Saccharomyces cerevisiae S288C: one gene and its partners. Changing the gene in region 4 together with the main gene of any one other region gives a genetic interaction. Each region holds a gene or a part of one and is shown on either strand. Other genes may lie near its edges. The genes, in order: REB1, VPH2, TRP1 and PET9.

Evidence for each region.
Region 1: of PET9 (region 4) and REB1, extra expression of one rescues a mutant of the other (dosage rescue), as found in Saccharomyces cerevisiae (one study listed by BioGRID).
Region 2: of PET9 (region 4) and VPH2, extra expression of one impairs growth in a mutant of the other (dosage growth defect), as found in Saccharomyces cerevisiae (one study listed by BioGRID).
Region 3: of PET9 (region 4) and TRP1, extra expression of one impairs growth in a mutant of the other (dosage growth defect), as found in Saccharomyces cerevisiae (one study listed by BioGRID).

Annotation. Positions count from the first base shown.
Region 1 is NC_001134.8:333,873-338,779, forward strand, and holds REB1 (DNA-binding protein REB1), read right to left. Parts: upstream 2,947-4,907; coding exon 514-2,946; downstream 1-513. Other genes in the region: protein phosphatase regulator REG2, read right to left, coding at 3,311-4,327; RFS1 (flavodoxin-like fold family protein), read right to left, coding at 4,848-4,907. UniProt on the Saccharomyces cerevisiae protein: DNA-binding protein that recognizes sites within both the enhancer and the promoter of rRNA transcription, as well as upstream of many genes transcribed by RNA polymerase II. It is essential for cell growth. May stimulate or inhibit transcription.
Region 2 is NC_001143.9:218,003-220,967, forward strand, and holds VPH2 (Vph2p), read right to left. Parts: upstream 1,216-2,965; coding exon 568-1,215; downstream 1-567. Other genes in the region: OAC1 (Oac1p), read left to right, coding at 1-316; Hsp90 cochaperone SBA1, read left to right, coding at 2,322-2,965. UniProt on the Saccharomyces cerevisiae protein: Required for vacuolar ATPase assembly.
Region 3 is NC_001136.10:460,107-463,023, forward strand, and holds TRP1 (phosphoribosylanthranilate isomerase TRP1), read left to right. Parts: upstream 1-1,735; coding exon 1,736-2,410; downstream 2,411-2,917. Other genes in the region: SOK1 (Sok1p), read right to left, coding at 1-1,141.
Region 4 is NC_001134.8:162,536-165,958, reverse strand, and holds PET9 (ADP/ATP carrier protein PET9), read left to right. Parts: upstream 1-1,961; coding exon 1,962-2,918; downstream 2,919-3,423. Other genes in the region: YBL029C-A (uncharacterized protein), read left to right, coding at 1,187-1,471; SHE1 (She1p), read right to left, coding at 3,244-3,423.

The DNA of each region.
Region 1 (4,907 bases), 170 kb from region 4:
TGAATTATTTGAACCAAAGTGTCGTATATTAGGCTCTTTTTCTTTTTCTTTTACCAGACTTGGTTTTTTTCTCTCTTTAGTAATTGTTTCTATATATGGCTTATCAATTCTATATATTTTTTAACTTGAATATATGAATGACATCTTTAATAATCACATCTCGGCAAACGACTGATGAGTTCCACCTGCTTATTGTTTATTTCCTTTCGTACACGCCGCGCTTGGCCAGTCCTTCCAAGAATGTAGGCAGAAGAAATCAAACTAACTTGTAAGAGAAAGAATAAAATTCATTATACATATAGGTAAAATAATATAAATACAACGGCTCCATGTGTAAGTTGGAAATAAAAACAGTTGGCGTCAAGGAAGAAAAAGAAAGTCAATATCCGGCAATAAGTGAAGACAAGATTTGCCAAATTGTTACAGGGCTAAAAAAAAGATAAATGATGAAAAATAACGCGTACTATCAAACATTATTGAGTTTTTCGCTTTCACCAATTATATTTTCCGGAATTAATTTTCTGTTTTCATTGAAATATTGGAGCTAAAATAATCAACTAGCTCTTTACTGATTTCATTGATTGATTTTTGCTTATAGCCTTTGACCTTTTTCTTCATTCTTTCATAGCACAATTTCAACTCTAACCCATTTAATTTCATGCCAGGCTTCAAAGCTGCAAGTTCATCCCAATCTACTTGAGAATCTTCTGTTATACCTAAATCTCTTAATTTTTCAAAAATCCATAACATATCATCATCTTTTACAGTCTGAATTTTGGCAATTGCTTCCCTTTTGACCAATTTATTCCATTTATAACGACATTGAATACGTGATCTCGTACCGCCCATACGCTCACTGACAATGGTCCAGTTAATGATGTCTTTGAAATCTAACTTACCGTTACCCATCAAAGATTTCCTCAGTTTATTATTGTGACGTCTGATTGTATTTGACAAACTTTTAGAATGTGTGCTTGTTGCTGATGGAGCAGGTACCATTGAGTTCTGGGAATTATCATCGAGCTGTATACCTAATGAATCGTGGGGTTTGTCTTCGTCTTTGTTGTCTCCCAGGGATGAAGAAGCAGCAGCGGCAGCAGCGGCAATAGCATCGTCATCATCTTGCTGCTTTTGTTGAAGAAGTTGTTGTTGTTCTTGAATAGCAGCAGCAGCAGCTGCTGCTGCAGAAGCTGTATCATCATCGTCTTCATCGTTATTGCGATGATCATTCTGGTCATCTTGCAGTAAATGCTGTTCTTCTTCCAATAAGTTTGGATGCAATTGAGACTGTTGTTGCTGGGCTTCTTCCAACATATCGCTGATAACCTTTTTCAGAAGCTCTTCTTCTTCAACGGACCATCTATTTGATGCTCTATTGGTACCACATTTTACGTAGTTTCTCCAACGATCCCTACAATCTTCTGGCATTCTGCCTAAAGTTTTACCTATTTCTGCCCATTGACCTTCTTTTTCTGCACATAATTTAGCTAGCTCTTGTTCCTCCTCCGCGGTCCATTTACCACGTTGTTCAAAAATGTGATATTTTCTTCTCATGTGTTTGTAGATAGAGGAGCTAGATCTATAGGGTAAGACTTTGTAAATATTATTCCAAAAGTTGTCCTTTGGCCTGTCGGAACTCCATATCCTTTCACAAACTTGTTGTCTAGTCAAACGTTCAATGGCCTCATACTCGTTAATAAATCTTTCTAAAGCGGCGTCTTCGGCTTTATCAAAAGCTTTGCTATTGTTAGACCTTGAAGTCGATGGCGTTGCTGAGGATGAGGATAAAGATACCAAAGATGATGCCTTTGTGGCGGCTGATTGAAGTAGTTGAGATATTTCTGAATTGTCCACGCTGCCAGCTTCATTATCATGAGAGGGAGATTTTTGTTGGTGTGGTTGAGTATCTTGAGAGATAACTTTGGGCAAGACTTCCATATAATTTCTAGATTTGTTGAGGGAACTATCCAGCATAGAGTCTTTCTGCAGTTCAGAGTATTGCTTTGTACTATTTGATAAATCATCTGTATCATCATTGTGATTCTTGTTCTGATGATTCAAACCGTGTGTACGCATCAAATGATCTTTAATATGCTTTAATTTTTCGTTATCGTCAGTATCAGCCGCAGTATTCAAGTATTGCTGGAAATCAGGATGTTGGGTAATCGAATCAGCGTCGATAATGGCCTTATGGACCAGTTGATCACGATCAATCACATCATTATTAGTATCGTTGTCATCTGCATCACCCAAGGTGGTTAATTCCGGATCTACGTTTCCAATTTGTCTGTCATCGTCATCATTATTGTTTTTCCGCTTTTTCTGTGAATTCTCATGATTATTTCCGTTATCATGCTGTCTTTTACGCGAATTGCTATCGTTCGCAATACTGTTATTATTATTGTTATTTTTCGATAGAGTGTAAGCAGCAGCGACGGCGGCCATCGCCATAGATTGATGATCATCGTCCACACCAACACCCGCATCTTTCTTATTCTTGTCGTCGTCGTCATCCACGACTATGTCAGATTGAGAAAAGTGATTATTACTGTCATTGCCGTTGTCAGTGTTATTATTGTTTTCGTCATCTTCGTCGTCTTGTTGATTATGCGCTGTTTGCCTTAAATACCAATCCATAACTGCGTTATGTTGTTCATTGGAGTTGGCATGATCCACATTCGAAGATGATTCGTTCGCATTCAATGCGCTAATATTTTCAGAATCATCATTATTATCCTCGTTTCTATTACTGTCATCATTGTTATTAACATCAACATCACTACTACTTTCCACAATATTCTGCTTTTTCGAGTGTTTGTTTTCCAGATCCTTCGTATGCAATTGAGGGTCATGGTTCTGGTGATCTAGACCTACACCGACATATTTCAAAACAGCCTCTTCCACAGACTCTTGATTTGCGTTTTTATCGTTATGACCTGAAGGCATATTGATTGAGCTATAAATATTCTAATTCAGCAGCAACACGTGAGTTCAAACTAATAACGATAGTGTGTAGATAACCTTGCTTGTGATGATGTTTATTTATTTACTTTAGGTTGGGTCCACAGCAGGGTAATAACAGCCTGAGTTTTGTTGTTTTATCTTGTGTGGTCAAGAAAGCTGCCATTTGTTTGTCGTTGTCCTTTGTGAGGGTAGGTCCCTTGGCCGCCTTTGGTTTGCCACCCGGCATGGGCCCAATTTGAAAGACGGGTAACAAAGTTGTTGCTATATATCACGTGATCAATTTTTCCGAGGAGCTTCTAGAAGAAAATGAGACACAATTTCAATGTATTGAAAGTTTACGTAAAATTTATAGGAGCAGGTTGGGTATACTGGTGTCTATGTAAGCGTCAATGTCATTTTCTGTTTCAGCGTCAGTATCAGTATCAGTGTCAGTTTCCGACTCGAAAATGAAGGTCGAATGACTTGAAGTTGACGAAGGTTTTACGGGGGAATGATGACTTATGTTGGATAACTTGAGATCGGAGTCAACCCGAAGCACACTACTGAAATCTGTTTCTCCTGCCTGTAACAAAACATTTCTTGGAACATCGCGAACATCGTGCCCACGCTGATAGTCTCCACTATTACTACTGATAATGGCAGTGGCAGCGGCAGTCGTAATAATTGCGTCACTCGCGACGTAAACGCTGTTATAATCATAGAAACTTCGCTTACTTGCTGCGTTGCCAATACAGGGATCTAGTTCAGACTTTGAACAAGGGCGCTGTTCATCAGTCGAATTCAACCGTGTAGAAGGAAGCCTTTGTATGAAATGCTCATCAGTTATAATACACTGTTCAACGTTATCGTTAAATTTGATATGCCTCTCTCGTGGCTTGCCCATTATATCTCTCCTTTTGCGTGCCTTAAACCAGCTTCTCCAAAAAAGGTTCTCCAATCTTTGATCATTGTCCACTTTCTTGTGTTTTTGTAACGGTAAAACATTTTCATTTTTTACAGTGTTGTTCGAGCTTCTCACATGCTTATTATTTTTATTGTAATTGTTTTTACTACTACAATTGATAAACTTGATGAATTTCCATAAATTTAAATTCAAGATTAAACTTCTTTGCTCGTGAAAGTCGAAATTTTTCTTCTTTACTGCTGGCAACATGCACATTCTTTTCTTGTTTATTTTCCACTGTTTGGCATTCAAAGACTTGATTTTTTTTAAGCAATACGTACCATTTGCAGCGGCGGGAGGATATCCCATATCGTTTCTATTCATCAAAGTTCTGACCGCCTCAACGAATTTACTACTTTCTTCTTCCTCTGGAGGGTCCTGGAATAAGTTATCCAAAGAGTCGCAATTACTCAAAGTCATTCTCACACACTTTCTTGTTCCTATTTTTTTTTTCTTATTCCAATATATTATTTTATCAGAAGACAGACAGCAAGAACGACAGCCTAAGTTTCGAGACAACGCTAAATTTGACGGACATGCGAAGACATGCCATATATAACAGTACGTCCAGGAAGAAGCTGCAACTCAAGAAGCAATAACTATTTTATGCATTATTAGTTAATTAAAGGGGGTATGGTGTGGCTAAAAACGAGTAAAAAAGCAGCTTGTTGCGATGTTAGTAATGATAACTATAAGGTTTCCGTGTTGACACAATAAGCGTATAAATTTAATCACTCCCCCCACGTTTTTTTATCCAGTGCTGCCCCGCCACATGCAATCGGGCCGTCGGAAAAGCAAGAGAAGGACAAACTATCGGGCAAATGGCCTGGAAGGGACCTTCCCCATTGGCCCTTGACTATAGTCCTTCAGTCCTTCAGTCCTTCAGTCCTTCAATGTTACAGTTATACCATATCGTACTTATGTAAAGATATATACGGTTTTACAAATCTTTGATACGGTCGTAAAAGGCCTTCCCTTGAAGTTGGTGAACTCTTAGCTC
Region 2 (2,965 bases), on a different chromosome or scaffold from region 4:
CAAAAATGATCTGATGAAAGATGGCCCAGCATTACATTTAACTGCTAGTACTATCTCTGGGTTAGGTGTTGCCGTCGTTATGAACCCATGGGATGTCATTTTGACAAGAATCTATAATCAAAAAGGTGACTTGTACAAGGGACCTATAGATTGTTTGGTCAAAACTGTTAGAATCGAAGGTGTAACCGCTTTGTATAAGGGTTTTGCAGCTCAAGTGTTCAGAATCGCACCTCATACAATCATGTGTTTGACCTTCATGGAACAGACAATGAAACTAGTTTATTCGATAGAGTCGAGAGTTTTAGGCCATAATTAATTCCCATAACAAACTCCGAGGTTTGAAGTTTCATTCATTGGCCAGGACAGTTCTACTTTACTAATGGTTTCATTACAACCTTTTTCTTCATATTATGTAGCATTAAGGATAATAGAGCATTTTTTATTTCACATTCATACACGATAGTTTTATAAACGTAATTATAAACATACAGAACATTATTCACAATTGTCCAGTTCCAAGAATTATATGCTCTCGGATCTCGGAGTTCTTATTTATAAAATGATCAGTTACAGTGTAATCTTGCTTAGAACTTTCTTTTTCTCAACCTTTGTTTTTTCTTTTACTTTTGCTTCTTCGAGTTTTTTCAGATAGCTGTTATACACAACCACATCTGCTACTAAGACCAATATTCCAAAGAACAAGCACAACAAAAGACGAACATGGACCGGAAAGTTTGTTGAAGATCCGGTCCAGTACCAAATGGCCACAACAACCGATATGACACTTACAAGAACGTTGAAAACAGTGGTAACTTGTTCCTTAATCTGTTTATTAATTTGTGAAGGCGTGAGTTCATCGTCTTCTTGAAGTGAAAAGACAGACTTGCTTCTCTTGACCATACTTTGATATTCAAGTTCTTGTTCCTGATATTTCAAAAACTCTAATTTTTTCTTGAAATCCTCTGAATAGTGTAAACCTCTGACGGCCTTGGGCTTGAATTCGAACTCCAAAGGTTTCAAAAGTTCTTTGATAGAGCATTGGAGATCACTGTCTTTTCTATACTCTTTCACATAAAAAAGAAGTGACTGCATAGGTATTGCGTGTCGCTTCAGGAACAAATCAATGTCCTCATCAATTCCTTCGTTTGATTTCGCGCTATTCTTGAACTTTCGCAGAAATTCAGTTATTCTATCATTCAGTTTAATTTCGAACATTAGAGTTCTTTTATGTGATGCCAATCGTCAATTATCCTATCTTACCTTTTCTTCATTTCTTTCAGCGTTTTCATGTGAGATTTGCTTTATTTTCGCTTCCTCGTTTCTCATTTTAAATATTCACACGTCCGTCATGTCTACTTTGAGTCAGTTAAATACACAAGATTTTTGTAAAACTGAGTATTTCGTGAACAATATAATTGTTCGGATTCAATCATAGTTAAAGACTATAGTATGAGATACACAGAATATCCTAAAAGTTCCCCTCGAGGGTATAGGAAACCTCAAAATGGAATCGGTCTTTCTACATGATAATATTACTCTAACTTCTTTTCTTCTATACTTTGCCATTCATTACCCTATCACGTTATCAATCCTTGCATTTCAGCTTCCATTAAGACCGATAACTGTTTCCCAATCTCTATGTCATCATCTTACACCGCTGTGATAATATTCTAGGAAGACGAATACTAGCCAATAGATGATACAAGGATTTCATTTCGACAGAAACAAAAAAAGCATGGAAAAACGAATGGAGACAAAGAGGAAGTTAAAGAAAGTTCATTTGTGACCTCATTTACTCAGAAGAATTTCGTAAATCGGTTGTTATAGAACTGTTTTATTGTTTAAAAGAGCTTGTTATAGTAATCTAAGTGGAAATACACTAACAGTAAATAGGGCGTGTGGCGTAGTCGGTAGCGCGCTCCCTTAGCATGGGAGAGGTCTCCGGTTCGATTCCGGACTCGTCCAATCTTTTTATACTTATTAATAATTTTTTTCCTGCCGTTACTTGCTTTTAAAATAACTGCCTTTTATGAATACAGAGTATAATTTTTGATATACAAAGAGGTTGACTGTGATAATCAATACTTAATTTGTGGTTATTGGTACACATATACCTACAAAAGTTACCAACAAACTGTTCGACTTTTAATGCTACCCGCCTTCCGAGTGTTTTTGAAGGGGCGGAGAGGAGCGGCAAGAATTAGCATGGAAAAAAGCATAAAAAGACGAAATGGGTGGCAATGTATTAACTTGTTCGAGAAACCTAGTGGACTCAATTCATTACAACAACAAGTTCCCAAGATCATCGATTCATAATAGTCATGTCCGATAAAGTTATTAACCCTCAAGTTGCATGGGCTCAAAGGTCTAGTACTACTGATCCAGAAAGAAATTATGTCTTAATAACTGTGTCAATTGCAGACTGTGATGCCCCTGAGTTAACCATTAAGCCATCATACATCGAATTAAAGGCTCAATCAAAGCCTCATGTTGGCGATGAAAATGTCCATCATTATCAATTACACATTGATCTATACAAGGAAATTATACCTGAAAAAACAATGCATAAGGTTGCTAATGGCCAGCACTACTTTTTGAAATTGTATAAAAAGGATTTAGAATCTGAATACTGGCCACGTTTGACAAAGGAAAAGGTGAAGTACCCTTACATCAAAACTGATTTCGATAAATGGGTTGATGAAGATGAACAAGACGAAGTTGAAGCTGAAGGTAATGATGCCGCTCAAGGAATGGATTTCAGCCAAATGATGGGAGGTGCTGGAGGTGCTGGAGGTGCTGGAGGCATGGACTTCAGCCAAATGATGGGAGGTGCTGGTGGCGCTGGTTCTCCAGATATGGCTCAATTGCAGCAATTATTGGCTCAAAGCGGTGGTAATTTGGACATGGGAGATTTCAAAGAAAACGATGAAGAAGATGAAGAAGAGGAAATAGAGCCGGAAGTGAA
Region 3 (2,917 bases), on a different chromosome or scaffold from region 4:
AGTCAATCTCTTTTAAGCCCTGCAAATTTATAGGAGGAAATGGAACAGGCGTTGGAGTAGCCTTTATGTAGTTTATTCTATCTTCCAAAGTTAAGTCAAAGTTTGAGCTTGATAGGAAGCTTTGATTTGTCATTGAAGTGGCAGTGGAATTATTAATGTTGTCATTATTAGCGTTAGTGCTTGCGTTACCTGATATTTGTTGATTTAAAAAAATTGCGCGCTTTAATGAAAGAGGGTTTGAACTGAGAGGATTATTAGAATGCAAATATGGTTGATGATGGTTTCTAGAAAATTTTTTCTTTGATATGCCGGAAGGAGTTGGATGATTTAAAAGAATATTTTGATTACGATAGTATTGATTGTGGGATGATAATTTTCTTAAAGAAGAATGCAAAATAGTGGGTACGGAATGCGACCTCATTTTTTTATTTGAAAAGATCCTTAAAAAGTTAGAAGCATTTCCTGGTGGCTGTTGTTGTGCTGCTTGTTCTTTGTGTGGTTCCGTTGCTGGTGGCAATTGCGGCGCGGATGCAGACGGTGGTTGCTTTGACGACGGTGGTGGGGAGGGAGATGGATTGTTGATATTAGTATAAATATTCTTTGGGGGTATCGAATCAACTTTATTGTTCCTCCTTATTTCTTCTTCATTATCATCGTTTTTCAAGAATTGACCAGTCTTGGTGTCGAACGTCTTGAATATAGTATTGTCCCTGTCTATAGGGATCTTCAAATCACTACTATTAGCTGAATTGCCACTGCTATCGTTGTTAGTGGCGTTAGTGCTTGCATTCAAAGACATGGAGGGCGTTATTACGCCGGAGCTCCTCGACAGCAGATCTGATGACTGGTCAATATATTTTTGCATTGAGGCTCTGTTTGGAATTATATTTTGAGATGACCCATCTAATGTACTGGTATCACCAGATTTCATGTCGTTTTTTAAAGCGGCTGCTTGAGTCTTAGCAATAGCGTCACCATCTGGTGAATCCTTTGAAGGAACCACTGACGAAGGTTTGGACAGTGACGAAGAGGATCTTTCCTGCTTTGAATTAGTCGCGCTGGGAGCAGATGACGAGTTGGTGGAGCTGGGGGCAGGATTGCTGGCCGTCGTGGGTCCTGAATGGGTCCTTGGCTGGTCCATCTCTATTCTGAAAACGGAAGAGGAGTAGGGAATATTACTGGCTGAAAATAAGTCTTGAATGAACGTATACGCGTATATTTCTACCAATCTCTCAACACTGAGTAATGGTAGTTATAAGAAAGAGACCGAGTTAGGGACAGTTAGAGGCGGTGGAGATATTCCTTATGGCATGTCTGGCGATGATAAAACTTTTCAAACGGCAGCCCCGATCTAAAAGAGCTGACAGGGAAATGGTCAGAAAAAGAAACGTGCACCCGCCCGTCTGGACGCGCCGCTCACCCGCACGGCAGAGACCAATCAGTAAAAATCAACGGTTAACGACATTACTATATATATAATATAGGAAGCATTTAATAGAACAGCATCGTAATATATGTGTACTTTGCAGTTATGACGCCAGATGGCAGTAGTGGAAGATATTCTTTATTGAAAAATAGCTTGTCACCTTACGTACAATCTTGATCCGGAGCTTTTCTTTTTTTGCCGATTAAGAATTCGGTCGAAAAAAGAAAAGGAGAGGGCCAAGAGGGAGGGCATTGGTGACTATTGAGCACGTGAGTATACGTGATTAAGCACACAAAGGCAGCTTGGAGTATGTCTGTTATTAATTTCACAGGTAGTTCTGGTCCATTGGTGAAAGTTTGCGGCTTGCAGAGCACAGAGGCCGCAGAATGTGCTCTAGATTCCGATGCTGACTTGCTGGGTATTATATGTGTGCCCAATAGAAAGAGAACAATTGACCCGGTTATTGCAAGGAAAATTTCAAGTCTTGTAAAAGCATATAAAAATAGTTCAGGCACTCCGAAATACTTGGTTGGCGTGTTTCGTAATCAACCTAAGGAGGATGTTTTGGCTCTGGTCAATGATTACGGCATTGATATCGTCCAACTGCATGGAGATGAGTCGTGGCAAGAATACCAAGAGTTCCTCGGTTTGCCAGTTATTAAAAGACTCGTATTTCCAAAAGACTGCAACATACTACTCAGTGCAGCTTCACAGAAACCTCATTCGTTTATTCCCTTGTTTGATTCAGAAGCAGGTGGGACAGGTGAACTTTTGGATTGGAACTCGATTTCTGACTGGGTTGGAAGGCAAGAGAGCCCCGAAAGCTTACATTTTATGTTAGCTGGTGGACTGACGCCAGAAAATGTTGGTGATGCGCTTAGATTAAATGGCGTTATTGGTGTTGATGTAAGCGGAGGTGTGGAGACAAATGGTGTAAAAGACTCTAACAAAATAGCAAATTTCGTCAAAAATGCTAAGAAATAGGTTATTACTGAGTAGTATTTATTTAAGTATTGTTTGTGCACTTGCCTGCAGGCCTTTTGAAAAGCAAGCATAAAAGATCTAAACATAAAATCTGTAAAATAACAAGATGTAAAGATAATGCTAAATCATTTGGCTTTTTGATTGATTGTACAGGAAAATATACATCGCAGGGGGTTGACTTTTACCATTTCACCGCAATGGAATCAAACTTGTTGAAGAGAATGTTCACAGGCGCATACGCTACAATGACCCGATTCTTGCTAGCCTTTTCTCGGTCTTGCAAACAACCGCCGGCAGCTTAGTATATAAATACACATGTACATACCTCTCTCCGTATCCTCGTAATCATTTTCTTGTATTTATCGTCTTTTCGCTGTAAAAACTTTATCACACTTATCTCAAATACACTTATTAACCGCTTTTACTATTATCTTCTACGCTGACAGTAATATCAAACAGTGACACATATTAAACACAGTGGTTTCTTTGCATAAACACCATCAGCCT
Region 4 (3,423 bases):
TGAACTTTTTCTCGAAAACACAACAAAGAGAGAAAAAAAAAAAAAAAAAAAAAAAAGAGAAAAACATGATAAAAATTGCATATATGTGGGTAGAAACCTTAAAAGTTATAATAAAGGGAATCCCACGCAGGAGCGGCATGGGAAGATAATATAATGAAACGAGCAAAAAATGGAGTCAACGTATGGCGTATTAAGATTGTGTTTATTTTTATGCAGGAAGGGGAATCGCACAGATAGTCAATAACCAACTGGCCGACTAACTGCATAAGAAATCGTTGTTTTTTTTTTCGAAGGCTCATTCAGATAAAGAAATCACTACGCGTTTTGTCTGTGAAGTCACAGATTTGAAAAATGAGAACGAAAAACATAACCACCTATGAGATTGAGTCCCTACATTTTACCATTTACGCTACTAAGTTACCCAATATCGTAACACGAAATAACAAGTTAAGGGGAGGAATGAAAAGGTTATCAAAGCGGCAGGAGACAGGAGGAATAACGCAGGACGAGACCCAAAGATAATATTTCTATAACGAAGTCGTTCGAACCCATCAGATTTCTGCTTTGATTACATACACAAGCTTTGTTTCTTTCTACAGGTGATTGTATGTGGGCTTATGGTATGCCTGCAGGACGCGTATGCATGTACGACGGCACGACCCGGAGCAAAACGGCGAGTGCTCTAACGCGGTGTATGGGCTAGATTCGTAATAGGGCTCTGGGTTTGCTGCAAGGGGTAATTATCAGCGATGGAATGACTCCGTTACCGCCCGACGCTATGTACGCCTTTTCCGCGTGCGCCGGTCTTTACCGGCAGGGGAGAATGTGGTGACGGCGGAGCCGGCGTATGGTGCCTCTACAAAAAATACGAAGTCTCATTTTAGTCACACTGATTTTCATAAGAAATGAGGAAAAAGAAAAGAGATGAAAATTGAGAAAAAAAAAAAAGCATTGTCGGGTAACAAATTATGTAGTGAAGATCAAAGGATATACACACAAACGAAGATGCGCATTAGCCACGTCCATCCCTTTCCCTTTTTCCCTTTCTACTCCGTTTTTACAATAATGTACGTTATAAAACAAGCGGCTGAAGAACAAGTTGGGAATAAATGTCAGCAAGGAAGATTGGTGTAAAGTGAAATCAGATAAGCAACTTAATACACAACCTCAAAAAGAAAAAATTACCATGTCATTCATACCTATTGTATGTGGTATGAAGAGTTTCGACTCTTCATACGATACCGTTCCCGGACATCAAAACCTGTATTGCCCGAATTGTCACAATTATAGTGTCGGCCCCATAAAAAGAAAGGAATTTTTCACTATTTGGTTTATACCGTTGGTTCCGGTCTTCTGGGGAAAACAGTTGCACTGCCCCATATGCAATTGGCGACAAGATTTTAAGAATGACGAACAGCTTAATAAAGTCATTCAAGAACAACAAAACTTACGACAAAAGCAGCCCAACTGATAACGAAATAATTTCCTTTTCTTCCTCTTATATATGTATTTATATATATGTGTTCACTATAACCATACATATATTATACAGAAGTATAGACACGATTTTTCCATACGTAACAAATAACATCACGATGCACGAGCACTGTTTCCAATGGAGAACAAGCGAAAGGCGGTAAATGCGCTATGCTGATTGGTGTAGAGCGCGGGCCAATGAGAAGGCCCCACTCTCAGAGGGTGAGGTGCGATTATCGGGGACATGTCTCCGTCGATCGGGCCCACGTCGTCGCACAATATAAATACCATTTGAGTTTTTAATATTAATTTTTCACGACAACCCACTCAAAAAAGTATATATTCACTGTTAGTTATACGGAACATTGCAATACATCTACAAGTCAAAGGAGCCCCTCTATATTATTTATATTTGTCGTTGTTCTTTTTTGTGTGCTCTTTTATACTTCAGAATCATACATTAACATACATATAAGCAAATAGCCATGTCTTCCAACGCCCAAGTCAAAACCCCATTACCTCCAGCCCCAGCTCCAAAGAAGGAATCTAACTTTTTGATTGATTTCTTAATGGGTGGTGTCAGTGCCGCTGTCGCCAAAACTGCTGCATCTCCCATCGAAAGAGTTAAACTTTTGATCCAAAACCAAGATGAAATGTTAAAACAAGGTACTTTGGACAGAAAATACGCAGGTATCTTAGACTGTTTCAAGAGAACCGCTACACAGGAAGGTGTTATCTCATTCTGGAGAGGTAACACTGCTAACGTTATCCGTTATTTCCCCACTCAAGCTTTGAATTTCGCCTTCAAGGACAAGATCAAGGCCATGTTTGGTTTCAAGAAGGAAGAAGGTTACGCCAAATGGTTTGCCGGTAACTTGGCATCTGGTGGTGCTGCTGGTGCCTTGTCATTACTATTTGTTTACTCTTTGGATTATGCAAGAACTAGATTGGCTGCTGACTCCAAGTCCTCTAAAAAGGGTGGTGCTCGTCAATTCAACGGTTTGATCGATGTCTACAAGAAGACCTTAAAATCTGATGGTGTTGCTGGTCTTTACAGAGGTTTCTTACCTTCTGTCGTTGGTATTGTTGTCTACAGAGGTCTATACTTCGGTATGTACGATTCTTTGAAGCCTCTATTGTTGACTGGTTCTTTGGAAGGTTCATTCTTGGCTTCATTCTTGTTGGGTTGGGTTGTTACTACTGGTGCTTCTACATGTTCTTACCCATTGGATACCGTTAGAAGAAGAATGATGATGACCTCCGGTCAAGCTGTTAAGTACGACGGTGCCTTTGACTGTTTGAGGAAGATTGTTGCTGCTGAAGGTGTTGGTTCTCTATTCAAGGGTTGTGGTGCTAACATCTTAAGAGGTGTCGCAGGTGCTGGTGTTATCTCAATGTACGACCAACTGCAAATGATCTTGTTTGGTAAGAAGTTCAAATAAGTCTAATCTGGCTTGATTCTTAATCTAAATTCTTTCTCACATTTTCCTTTTTTTCTTCTTTGGATTTTTGGTGTTTAATGAGTGACACGATTTGTTTTGATAATATTATTATCCTCCTATTTTTTTAGAAATTCTTTTCAACAAGAATCAAAGATTCATAAAAAAAGAAAACGATGAAATTTTTTGAACAACTTTTACGTATAAAGAAGAAAAAAAAAAAATTCTAAATATCCAGTAAATAGTTTTATATTAGTAGTATTCTTTCCCACTTTTTAAATGTCATCACATGATGTTTCTTATAAAATGCAATTTTTTTATTACTTAATCACCGCCAAATAGGTCTATCACTCTTTGTGCCGGTGGCAGTACTTTGCTTAAGGTTACTGGACAATGAACCACTTGTCTTACTTTTAACCAACCGAGTCTTTACATTTGTGTGTTCCTTGGATTTTGCAGAGGTTCCTGACGATAAGTTGTTCATAGACGTCGACCTAGAGAACGTTGT